Linked DNA regions of Sus scrofa. The protein of the gene in region 3 interacts with the protein of the main gene of each other region in a pairwise test. Links are inferred from orthologs where the notes say so. Each region holds a gene or a part of one and is shown on either strand. Other genes may lie near its edges.

Region 1 (4,122 bases), on a different chromosome or scaffold from region 3:
TCCCTTAGCTTCAGCTACCTCCCTCCCACCCACCTCCTTGGATGGCTTCTCTGTTCCTCCTCCTTCCCTTTCCTGCTATGTCCCAGCGCCTTGCTGGCTAACCCAGTTTCTGTGATAGAGTCTAGGCTCAGGGCTCACTGCAAGTGGAGCAGGGGAGCATGCCCGCTGTCCTCTCCAGGTATGGGTAGGAGCCCGGTGGAAGGAGACCAGTGTTACTCTCAGCCCAACTCTTGCAAGTTTTCTTGTCTAGCCCACCTGTCGCACCGGGTGAGGGCGAGTAGGAAGGTCTGAGCTGACCTTTTCCAACTTTGTTGTCAGGACCCTGAAGGGCCAGCCAAGAGGAGAGGAGAGTCCCAGCCCTGCCACAAGAAATGCAGAATGGCCAGGAAGAAAAACTGTGGGGTGGGGGGCAGGTGCTCAGAGGCTTGCAATTACATTTCCATGGCACGCGGGCACCCGGCTGGCTCTCCCAGAAAAGTGAAGTTGTGGCCAAGCGGAAAGTAGAGGAGAGCAAGTCTGGGCGCAGCATGCAGGAAACCTGAAGGTCTGGCACCGCAGGGGAAGAGACTGACAAAGTGACTCTAAAACAGGCCTGGTCATTTGCTCCGCAGCCCAAAGTGCAGCCTGAGCAGGTGCCTTGCTCCAGGTCCCCGGAGCGTCGCCCCTCGGCCTCCAGTTCGCCCCAGAGACCTGCCGCTGCCTTGCTGCTGCCGTCACCGCCGCAGCTGGGGGTCCTGGCCTGAGGGTTCAACCACAACCGCCTCCCGGAGCTGCCCTTTGATAAAGGAGCCTTTCCTGTAGCTGTTAGCGCGGGCTTTTATCCTCTGGAACTTTCTCCGCACAACTTTTTCTGGATGGCGCTTGTCTCAGGGCCGCGCGGGCTCGGGTACGCGGACCTGGCAGGGCGCAGCGGCGGTGCGAAGGACGCGCGCAGGGGGACGATCCTGGAATCTGCGTCTACATATACGACACTGCCTCCTCTTCTACCACTCCCACGAAGGGACATGTCCGCTGACCTGGACGCTGGTGGGTCTCGCGTAACCTGGAGTGTTTGAGTACCCGCCTCTCTGCCGCCTGCCTGTGCGCCCCACGCGACCAACCCGGGCAGGCGACGGCCGTGCGCCCGGCGCTTCTAGTGGCTTCTGCCGAGAGACATCCCTTTCCTAGTTCTCCCTCTAGAGAGTGAAACCCCAAAATGGTTCTGTGCAACTCAGAAACTGGGAGGAAGCAACTAGCATCAACCCCTTCCCCCAAAACCGCCCTCCAGTGTCCCTCCGAACTCCCGAGAGGCATCAACACCTTCCCACAACTTTATACGCCCAGGCCATTTGCAGCCCACCTGCGAACGCGAACTCAGAAACTGCGCCCCGCCAACCTCTTTCCTCTTCGGCTGAGTGCGCTCCCCTCCCCCATCACCCATCTGGCTGGAGTTGGCCGGACCGGCGAAGCACCGTGCCCCGGGCTTGCTTACCTCGCATGGTGTGGCCGCTCTTCCGCTCCTCGTAGTCATAAAGCTGCTCCCAGCCCAAACCCCGGAGAGCCCAAAAATCCCTCTCAGCACAAGTGAAGTAGGTGGTCGGCGAAGAGCTGTTCCACCCGGAAAACCATCCCTTTAGGTGGACGCCGTGGCCGGAGGGTGACGTTTGTCGCTGCTGCCGCTGCTATGTTAACAGTTTTGATGATGGTGGTGGTGACTGTTTTGATGGTTGTTTGGTTGTTTGTTTGTTTTCAGGAAGGGTGAAAAAAATGTGCTGAATGGCTGGTGCCTAGGTTTTGTTTTGCTTTTGTTTTTCTTTTTTCTTTCTCTCCAATGTGCTTGCTTTTTAAAAATGCCACCGCCTCCGGCTCAGAAGATTTCTTTTGTGATCACTTGGACTGAAGAGGAGGAAGGGCAGGAGCAGGAGGAGGAGTTGGTGGTGGTTTTGTTAGTTACAAAGAAGAGGGAGAAGGAGCAAGGAAAAAAAAGGAAACAGAAAGAAAAGGAAGAAAGGCGGTGTGGATGGCAGAGCATGTGCGTTTTCACATGACATCTGTGCCTGTTAGCGGATCCACAATGTGAATTTTCACTGTTCAGTTACAGGGAGGAAGGGAGCAAGAGAGAAAGAGGAGAGAGATGGAGAGAGAGAGCCGAGAAGGGGCTTATACGCGAGGGCGGGTTTGGCTGAGACTTCCAGGCCCCGCCTCCTGTCAGCGTCGCCGCCAATCATCGCCCCGCAGCTCTTGGAGGGCTGGGACCACGGGGGATCCGCTTGAAGGCAAGGGGAGGGGAGCTAGCACAGTGGTGCCTGAGGCGGCCAGGGCTGTAACCTGGCATTAGAGACTGTCCGAACTGGGCAGAGGAGGAGATCGGGCAGATCTGCGGGTGATAGTTCCGATTCCAGGAGTAGGGAGGAGGCACTTAGGAGAACTCTGGAGGGGAGGAACGAGGCTCTCTGAGTCCCTGCTTGCTTCCCTGTCTCGCAAAACCTGCGGCCCGGGTAGTTAGTTTTGAATTTATGGCAGCTCTCTGTAAAGTCCATTTTCGGTAAACTCCGCATGTTTGGCGGGAGTTTTCCTGGGCAGGACGTTTCAGTCTTAGTGGCAGGATAACGCAAATCAACTTCCATCACTTTGAGCACAACTAAAATACAGTCCCAGGCAAGGAGCCTTCCTTGCTTTCTTTAAAACCGTCTTTCAGATGCTTTCTAGCCCTGTTCTAAAAACAAAATAAACAAAACAATGAGATGTCTGTTTTTTAAAAAATTCGTAAAAATTTAATGCTTCCTTTTATCGAAGAAACGGATTTTTATTAGCATTTGGAGTTGCTAATAAACTGGGGTTGGGACACATGACTCAAGGGTAACAACCCCGATTGGCGATGTGGCTAACTTAGTGATGCAAGGCAAAGGGCTGAGGCTACAAGGTATGATTGCAAAGTATTACTGATCTCGTGAAGGTGTAGGGCTTTAGGAGGGAGGAATTGTTTATTCTAGTTGCTCCTAGAAGACATTTATCTATGTAGAGGGAACTGGCAATTAAACGTAGGTAGTTATTGTATTTCCTATAGGTGAAAACCGTCATCTATGACCATTTTATTTGTACTGTGGTAAAAATCTAATGCATATATCAAAACCGTTCATTTTCAAGTTTCCCCTTATTTTCTTATTGGACGTATTATATAGATGATCACATCTACTTTCCATAGTGGAATACTTTGATTGATTAATTGATCACCCTAAAAAAGGTGAAAAAATTTGCCACATCTACTCAGCTTTAAGGCATTGAGGCTTCTACCCACTGGCATACCTGTTGGCAGAGCAGGCCTCATCATCCTTTAGATACAGAATAACTTGATTTTTACTGGTATTTATTTATATTATGTCATGTAACACAAAATCCAATGTAGAATTGGTGATTATTTAATTAGACCCACTCTACACTGCCAAATAGTCCCCCCACCTCCCTCGATTAAGTAAAAATGGATTAGTTTCTGAATCTTCACTAGTGTTAAATTGACTTAGCTCTGCTGTATGCCCTTCCATTTGCAAGCCAATATGTAATTTAGGAGAATTTTAGTATTTAGAATGAAAGTTGATTGAGTCTTTAATTAAATGAAATGAACAAAAGGAAGTTACTCCTCAGAATAGTTATTCCCCTATAAATACCTTTCCCCTAGATTTGTAATTGACACAGTAGTTAATCGTTTAAGATAATATTTAAGGCTTCCTGGTTTTATCATTTTTAATCAAGTAAAATATATTCATCATAACTACATTAAAGCTGCACTAAGTTATGCCTAATTTAGTTGCTTCATTAAAAATTACTGAATATAAAATAGTCAAGAAACAAACTGTGACTACCTCATTTTACTTTTATGTGCTTCAGAGACACAGGAATATTGAAAATTTCAAAGCCTTTGTAAATATTATTAGTATTATTACTGTCATTATTTTAGATTTCTATTTCTCACTAAAGAGGAATTTCAAAGTTCAAGAATTTTAACTCTTTCATCTAGTCTTAAATTTCTAAATATTTATTGAATTCTGAAATTTATTTTTACTGCTATAATATCTGTAATTATTTTAAAAGATAGCTAAAACATATTAAAAGTACTTTTTTCTCCTACATATTTTTGTATATCTT
Region 2 (4,178 bases), on a different chromosome or scaffold from region 3:
TACAATTTGAAAATATCCAGCACCAGGTTAATTCCAATAATGAACCCAATAGATTAGTTAATGCTATGAGAAGACTAAAGAGCAAGAGAAAAAGAGACACAGACCCAGGCCTGGCTCAACATGCTACTAACTACCAGCTCTCAGATGTGTCACTGGGGACAATACACACTCCATGCGTTTTGCTACATCTCCAGAAGAGGTAAGGACTCGAGTCCACACGTGGATGCTTTCAAGTCCTTGAGGCCCACGGCCTGGTGGTGTGTTTCACGCCCAGATAAGGTCCTCCCTAGGTCTACGGGAACCCTCGAGGGAAGACGTGTTTCTCCTCTCCATAATGCACCGACTCGGGCAGTGGCGCGTGCCTGCCTGCTGCCTCCCCTCTCTGCCCGCTCACAGGGCCAGCAGCGTGGGTGAGCTGAGCGAGTCAGAGGAAGGCTCGTTGCTGCTGCTGCCCTTGCGGTGGGCAGCCGCACAGCTGGGGAAGGAGTCAGCCTCGGGGTAGGTAAAGACGAAGGAAGACGTGTAAGTAGTGCAGCTGGGGGTGCAGGTGACCACCGGGGTACACAGGGGCTCCAGCTCTGTGGCCATGGGCCCCATCCCCAGGGAGCCACCATGCAGGGGCTCCCAGTCTGCTGCATAGAAGGAACCAGACAGGTCCATGTCCGGCACAGAGCGGGCTGTCTCAGAGCCGCCGGGCCTGGACGATGCTGGGAACAGGAAGTCATCAAAGGGCTCGGCCTTCAGCTCCATGCTGCTGACGTTCTTGACTGGCTCCACGGAGGGCTTGGGCTCCGGGTCATTGAGGAGGGGCAGGGTGAAGGCCTCCTCAGATTCGGGGGTGGCAGCCTCAGGCAGGCCCCCACTCAGATCAAGGGAAGCCACAGACATCTCTTCAGGGAAGCCCAGGTCATCAGGGATCTTGCAGGCAGGTCGGTGAGCTGCCAGGATGAACTCGAGTTTTTCCTTCTCCTTCAGCAGGTTGGCGATCTCAGTCTGCAAAGCAGACTTCTCGTCTTCTAGCTGGTCTGTCTCCTGGATACAGAGGATACAGCAAAGCATAAGACACGGTCTTACTCAAAGACTCTGTTCCCTTCTACCCAGTCTCTAACTTTGCCCTTAAGTTTTCGAAAGAAGTGATCCATGGATTCTACCTACCGCTTGGAGTGTGTCAGTCAGCTCCCTCCTCCGGTTCCGGCATTTGGCTGCAGCCATCTTATTCCTTTCCCTTCGGATTCTCCTTTTCTCTTCTTCTTCTGGGGACAACTGGAGGTGGGGAGAGAGAGAGAGGGCAACATTCAGTAACAGTGCCTGCTATCAGCTCCGTTCACCCACCCTAGGAAAACTGGCGCCTGCAGCTTCCCGCCTCCTGGCACCTCTTCTGTGAAGCCATTTCTAACCTGCAGTTGCAAGCTGGGTGTGACTTGCATTTAAAATAAGAACCTCAGCAGGAGAACAAAGAGAAGCTACAAGGGTGAGATAAGAAACTATTAGGGAAGAAACTGCACATTGGATATTACTTAGGGTGGACTATTAGAGTCTGACTTGGGATGGATAGGGCTTGGAGCCGGGGTTCCCAGTCCAGGATATGTAATCAGTTCCACCCATGGCTTCACCCTGTCCACTATGCTCCCCATCTCCATCAAGACTGACCTTACCCCCCCAACCCCAGCCACCACCAGAGAGAAGGTGTTGAGAACCCTCACCTGTTCCACCTTGCCCCTTCTGCCAATGCTCTGAGCTCTGCCTCCTGGCATGGTCTTCACGACTCCAGCCCTGGAGTAAGCCCCAGCCGAGGGAGTGGGGACTCCGTAGGGGTGAGGGGCTCTGGTCTGGGATGGGGCAACCGAGGAGACCAGGGTGGGTTGCACTAGCCACTGCAGGTCTGGGCTGGTCGAGATAGCAGTCACCGTTGGGATGAAGTTGGCACTGGAGACGGCCAGATCGGTGCAGAAGTCCTAGAATGAAATATAGAAGGGGAAAGCTGACGTGAGCGACCAGGCTCTGGACGCAGGTGGGGTGAGCGGAGTGCCCAGTGCCGCATGCAGCAGGGAGAGAGTGAAAAATGGACTGCTTATGTATTTTTATATGTCCTTCATCCTGGATGAAAGGTCTCTCCCTTCCCAAGAATTCCGCAGCGCAGTGCCTTTCTCCTCCATCCTGCTGCTGCGTTCCCGTTATCCCTTCAGCATCACTCGCTTGAAAGGGGGGTTGTTATAAATATCCCTGACGTCTGCGCTGACGCAGACGCCGCTCCGGAGTCTCCTGAATGAACTCGCTTTTTATCAATGAAACTGCCTTACACACCCGCCGGCTTCACCCTCCTCCTCTCACCCTCCTCCCTGCTCCAGGCTGCGAGGGGAGGGAGGATCGCCGCTTTTTGCCTCCTCCCCCGGAGGTGCCCGGCTCTAGTTAGCCAGTCTTTGCTTGGGACACTTTTGCCCCCAGCTAATGTCAGAGACCAGTCAGAGCGCGTGGGCCAGGGTCAGCTCAGAATGAGCCCACAGCGGGAGAGGAGAAAAGATTCTTATTTTGACAAGCATGTGTGCGCTCCGAACAAGTCCGGGGCTCCCGAGATAGGGCTGATCCGGCCGGGGCAAGCCTCCCTCTCTGGCCAATGGGGTCCCCGGCTTGTCTTCCTGAGCGTCCCGTCCCAGTGTCTCCTCCCCGGTAACCCCGAGCCCCGAGCCCCGCGGTGGCACGAAGCCAGCCTTACCTGCGCATTGACGGGAGAGCCCATGCTGGAGAAGGAGTCGGCCGGTGAGTGGTAGTAGGAGAGACTGTCCCCGGCAGGGGAGGCGCTGCTGCAGCGGGATGATGACGCCTCGTAGTCGGCGTTGAAGCCGGAGAACATCATGATCGCAGGTAGTCAAAGCCGGGCGAGGGGCTGAGGGGCGGAGACAGGTAGGAGCTGCGGGGCTGAGCTGGGTAAGAGCGCGGTCGCTGCTCGCTCGCTGCGCCGCTGCCGGTTCTGTCTCAGCTTAGCTGCTCGCTGCAGATGCGGTTGGAGTACTAGGCCACTGCTTTTATAACAGCATTTTATGAATGAGCCCAATACGTCACGGAGCGCTACCATTGCAGCTCTCGAGGGGTGGCGCTCGGATCTTGCCACCTCTGCAGCCTCTTTGCTGCCTCTTCCGCCGTCTCAGCCCCCTGCCTTTCGTCTTATTGTGTTTCTTTATCTTCTGAGCTTTTCTCAGTCTCGGTCTTGGGGTCGCGTAGACCCCCTAAAATGAGGGACTTCGGGGATGGCTCCCCCCACAACTTCAGGGAACGGCCGTGGAAACCTGCTGACGCAGATGTCCTAATATGGACATCCTGTGTAAACGGGAGGGAGGGATTGACGGGAACTGCTCGCGGGCTGCAGCCAACACCAAGGGTGCAGCGCGGGGGGGAGGCGGGGGCCGTGGCCGGGGGGAGGGGAGGCGGGAAAGGCAGAGAAGGCGAGCGAACATTCGCACCTGGTTCAATGCGGACCCTTGTTCCCGGGGTTGGGGGATGGGGCGTAGGCGCCTTTTTACTTGTGTACAGAAACCCGGGAAGAGTTCTGAGGTTCAGGTATAGGCGAGATAGGTACACAGCCCCTTGGGCTTAAGCCTTGGCCCCCGAAGGAATGCGCCTCCACCCCCATTCCTCATTCTATCACTAATTCGGTGCAAACTGTGGAAGCAGACCCCCACCCCCTCGCCTCAAGCCCCAGCGCTCAGCACTACTAGGACTGTTACTGCGTTTGGAAGCGGAAAGTAGAGGGATACAAAATAAGAGAATACGATAACCTACTTTATCTACGATGCTGGGTATTTTAATATTAATTTTTTTTTAAGGGAAAAGGAGCATTTTTTTCCTCGGCCAAATACGGGATGTTAGAGTTACTGTCAAACCCCAGAGACACCAGCCAATAAACATTGTGCAGAACCTCCATGCAAAAATGTCTGTAGGGTTGTTTGCCAGGTTCTGAGCTCGGGCTCCGGAGGGGCTGTCATGTGGACAAGGTCGTCAGTTGGGGTACTGGATGGAGTGAGGTATTGGGGGAGCGCAAGTCCGAGCTGGAGAGGTGGGGGTGGTTCGATGCCCCGGAAGCTGGTTATTGGGAGCCAGCAGCGGGTGATTTTCCAGCACCGACTTGGAGGGGGGAGGACGGGGGCGCTGGAAGGACCGTGCCCAGCAGCGCCAAGGCCGGA
Region 3 (4,252 bases):
TTCAAACAGCTCAGGATGCTTCACGGGCAGCTCGATCACTTCTTTGATCTCCTTGATCTGCTTGTCCAGTCCACCAATCATCTCGTAAGTTGAATCTGGCACTTTCTCCACCATCATCAGTGACACCAGTGGATCTACCTTGTTGGGCAGGATCTTGTGCAAAGTGTAGCTATCATTTCTGAGAGCCACCCGGCAGTTGGGTGTCACCTGGGCGAGAGAAGAGAGTTTTAGGATGGGGCATGGTGAGAGCTGACCCCCCAACTCCCAACCTCACCTGCTGCACTCACATCATTGATGTCGATGTTCTTGTCCACGTCTACGACAAACTTGCCCTCGGGATGCACCTACAGAAACACAGGCTTGTGTGCTTCCCTGACAGCCATGAGCCTCACCCAGAGAGACCCCCGAGTCTCACAATAGCACGACAGGAGAACCTTCACGACACACGTAGGTATGGGAATGCCACGACCAAAGGGCTGCTCCCGGGGCTCATGCTGCCTTTACCTTAACCAACACTTTTTTCTTGTCCATGGCCCGGACTACTTCCCCCACATAGGAGCCCTGTTCTTGCAGTAGCTGTAGCTCCTCTCGCAACAGGCGAACTAGATGGGAAACAGACATAGTGGTCACCCAGATTCTTTGATGTCTCCCCCCACGACTTGATTCAGGATTCAGCATGCATGAACTAAGTGCCGTTTTGAAGTTTTGAAAGGAAGGTTTCAAAAAGAAAGTCAAAACAGGTCCTACTGCATAGCACAAGGAACTATGTTCAACACCCTGTAATAAACCGTAACAAAAAGAATGTGAAAAAGAACATATATGTGTGTAATTGCAACACTACCGCACAGCAGAAGTAACACTGTGAATCAACTAGAATAAGACTTTTTTTTTACAAGTCGAAATTCATATCTTTAAAGGAGGTTACAAGGGAGCTTGAGAGATGTGCACGTGAACAACTATGAGAAAGCGACAGGCACCCGTGTGAGGACCTCACACTGCCTGCGTGCAGCCTTCCCATCCTTCCCCCTCACCTTTTGCATTAAGCTCATTCCTCTGTGCTTGCAGCCTGCGGAGATTCTGGCTCTTGTCATTCACAATCAGCTGTGGAGGACAAGAGGCAAAGGGCAGACAGTGGTAGGAGGTTATGACCCTCACAGGCTGATGGGAGCAGAGTGAGGAAAGAGCACTGGGCACCCGCATGTTATTTCAGATTCTCTAATGTGATCCAAGAGTTCCTCAGGAGTGTAGGACAACCACAGGGAAAAAGCTTCTTGTCTAACACTGGTCCAGGAATAGCAAACCCTAATGGAGAAGAGGCAACAGCTGGCTTACACTGTGTCTTGCAGGGCAGTAACATGGTAGAGAGAGAAGATAACTTTGAGTCAGAAGCCTAAGTTCTAGCCCCACTGCTGGCTGTTAATAGCTGAGTAAAGCTAATGAAAACCACTTAAAAGGTCTAGATCTCTCACCAAACTGCAAGTGGTGCACCTACTGGCCTCTTTTCGGGGTTAATTTGAGGAACAAATGAAAGCAGCACAGGTAAAGCATTTCAAAAATGACCACCCAAATATGAAACCTGCAAATGTACCTGGAAGTGAGAATTTTTCCTTGTGGCTCTCCATCTAATTTGCAATATTTTCCTCATTTCTATGATCTGGCTCCCTCTTTAGGCTGTAATACTGGGTTGCTAGTTCCTTTTCATTTGGCCCCCTGGAACCAGCATTGTTCAGACTCCTCAATTTTGTCTTCCCTCACTCTCACTCTGCCCCAACCCCTCTCTAATAAATCCCATCTTCTGAACCTACATCTTCCCTTTTATAAGAAACTACCATTCAGGCTTCCTCTGAAAGGAATGATTTTTGGCCGGGGCTAACTTTTATGTGAAAATTTGACTCCTGAAAATATGTAACAAACTGTGAATATTAATGATCTTCAAAAGGGTGGGACTTGAGGAAGAAACTGTTAACTTGATATAATTCATACCCTTGGCTTCTTGCTTCTTCCACTGCGCCCCAGTGGAATCATACGGCTTTCTAGAAATCGGCTCCATCGATCCTTCACCGAAGCCCTTCCAGCTCCCTCAGGACCTCTTACCTGGAGTTCTTCAATCTTGGACAGATAATACTGGCGGAGTCCACTGCCTGCCTTCCCCTCTTCCAGCTCCATCTGAAGACAGTTTAATTATTAAACAACAGGTTAAACACCCAAGGGATAAAGCTACTTCCAGCTTGGACTTCAGAGACTAAGACTTGGGTTCTAATCCCTCACTCCATCTCTTCAAAACCCTTCGTGTCCCAGTGACAGAAGAGGGGAAACAGAAAGAGGGGAAAAAAAGTCCACCCCTTAAGACTTTCAGGAGGAGCAAGAGAGAACACACAAGGCAACGGCATACAAACCCGAAGGGTCATTACTACAGGAGGAGCCAGCAAGAAGGACGGGTTCCCTGACTCGGGCGACTCGCTCACTCATCCCGCTTCCACCGGGTCTTCCATTCCCGGCCCTGCCCTGACCCGCCGGGGGAGGCGCTGACACAGCAGATCCGTTCCCAGGCAGGGCCCGGTCCGGATTGGTCCATCCACACCTGATTGCCTCAACGCTCTTGCCCCAGACGGCTGCCCACCTCGGATCACACCTGCTCCGCATCCAGCCCTGATCCCCGTCTGGCCGCGGCAGCCGCCGCCATACCTGCTCAGGCCCGTCAAGCGCCATCTTCCCTCTTCCGCGGAGGCCCCCGGCATCAGAGCCGCTTTGGTGCGCAGGCGCGGAAGCGGGGCTTGGGGGACCGAACTCCCGGGCAGAGAACAGTTCCGGGTCAATGGGCGGGGTGTGCGCCCAAACAAAGCAAATAACAGGGGCCCTGAAGCGGCGGGGCCACGCGAGGTCAGGAGCTTTGGAAGGGGATAAAGAGGACGCAGAGCTCCTAAATGTTATTCCGAAGAAACTAGGTTTTGGTTAAAGTAATATTACTTCCGGGTGCAAACATCTAGTTTATAAACCTGGACACAGAGCTTAAAGAAAAATTTGTGGCCACGCTCAAAATGGCGGAAAACTTGGATCCGCGGACGCAGCCGACGCACACGGAAGCGGAAATACGTTTGCTGCTTACACGTGCCGCTGCTGGGGTAGTGAAAACGGAGCTGGGTGGTGTTAGGAGCGGAGTGCGGAGTGTCTTTGAGAAGACGAGTGGGGAGCGGAGAGCGTAATCTAGTATTCTGGGCGGAGACGTCCTGATTTCTGCTTTCTCTCCAGATTGAGTGGCACTCCCCAGTTCCACTATGGGCAAGAAGGGCAAAGTAGGGAAGAGCCGGCGGGACAAGTTCTATCACCTGGCGAAAGAGACCGGTGAGTCATGGTTTACGCAGTCTGAGAGCAAGAGAGCCACCGATCTTTGCCTGTTCGCCTCCTTCCCGAACATTGGGTTTCTCTTCCACAGAAGAGGTGGTGGGTTGTGAGGCCACCGTAATCCCGCTGGGAAAGCGCTTTCGCGGACTTTATTCTTTTTTCATTGTTTCTAGGTTACCGTTCCCGCTCTGCTTTCAAGTTGATCCAGCTGAATCGCCGCTTTCAATTTCTGCAGAAAGCCCGAGCCTTGCTAGACCTGTGCGCTGCACCAGGTGGATGGTGCGTAATATCTGGCACCTGTTGCTTCTTGTGGCAGCTTTCTGCATTCCCGCCATGGATGACTGAGTTTAACTGTGGGCAGGAGAGATACAGGACTAACAATCTGAAATTTTTCTACTTCCGAAACAAATTTCAGGGAAAAATATTTGGAAGTTATGTATGAGATATGTTTGGCCACTGCAGTCGGCAGGGGCTCCTAATACTGGGGATGAGAGCCAGAGACGGCGGGAAAGGGACAAGCCAGGGTAATTATTTCAGTGTTTACTTCTTTTTTATAGGCTGCAGGTGGCTGCCAAGTTTATGCCTGTCTCCAGCCTTATTGTGGGTGAGTGACAGTTCTTTTAAGCGTTTCGGGGATGGCGAGTGTGACATGCTGTGTTCGGCATTCCCTTCCTCCTGTTTAAGGCAACCTTTGGGAACACTCCACCCTGATTTCTTCCAGGTGTGGACTTGGTTCCAATCAAGCCTCTTCCCAATGTGGTGACTCTCCAGGAGGATATCACAACAGAACGTTGTAGGCAGGTAATGGAGATTTCTCTTTTCTCTCTCTCTTTTTTTTTTTTTTTTTTTTTTGGCTGCATCTGCGGCATATGGAAGTTCTCAGGCCAGGGATCAGATCCAAGCCTACCCT

What was found.
Region 1: the proteins of PSMC5 (region 3) and RORB interact in binary tests that used the Homo sapiens proteins (3 or more experiments, as listed by UniProt). The link is inferred for Sus scrofa from reciprocal best matches to the Homo sapiens genes PSMC5 and RORB.
Region 2: the proteins of PSMC5 (region 3) and FOS interact in a two-hybrid assay, tested with the Homo sapiens proteins (3 studies listed by BioGRID and IntAct). The link is inferred for Sus scrofa from reciprocal best matches to the Homo sapiens genes PSMC5 and FOS.

Annotation. Positions count from the first base shown.
Region 1 is NC_010443.5:227,572,704-227,576,825, reverse strand, and holds the start of RORB (nuclear receptor ROR-beta), read right to left. Parts: upstream 2,855-4,122; 5' UTR 1,511-2,854; coding exon 1,472-1,510; intron 1-1,471. UniProt on the Homo sapiens protein: Nuclear receptor that binds DNA as a monomer to ROR response elements (RORE) containing a single core motif half-site 5'-AGGTCA-3' preceded by a short A-T-rich sequence.
Region 2 is NC_010449.5:98,448,184-98,452,361, reverse strand, and holds FOS (proto-oncogene c-Fos), read right to left. Parts: upstream 2,855-4,178; coding exon 2,714-2,854; intron 1,956-2,713; coding exon 1,704-1,955; intron 1,264-1,703; coding exon 1,156-1,263; intron 1,033-1,155; coding exon 391-1,032; downstream 1-390. UniProt on the Homo sapiens protein: Nuclear phosphoprotein which forms a tight but non-covalently linked complex with the JUN/AP-1 transcription factor. In the heterodimer, FOS and JUN/AP-1 basic regions each seems to interact with symmetrical DNA half sites.
Region 3 is NC_010454.4:15,103,470-15,107,721, forward strand, and holds the start of PSMC5 (26S protease regulatory subunit 8), read right to left. Parts: upstream 2,858-4,252; 5' UTR 2,710-2,857; coding exon 2,686-2,709; exon of another isoform or gene 2,409-2,685; coding exon of another isoform or gene 2,397-2,408; exon of another isoform or gene 2,173-2,396; intron 2,167-2,172; coding exon 2,095-2,166; intron 1,303-2,094; exon of another isoform or gene 1,201-1,302; coding exon of another isoform or gene 1,102-1,200; coding exon 1,032-1,101; intron 603-1,031; coding exon 505-602; intron 345-504; coding exon 288-344; intron 208-287; coding exon 1-207. Other genes in the region: pre-rRNA processing protein FTSJ3, read left to right, coding at 3,276-3,342, 3,516-3,621, 3,900-3,946, 4,064-4,143.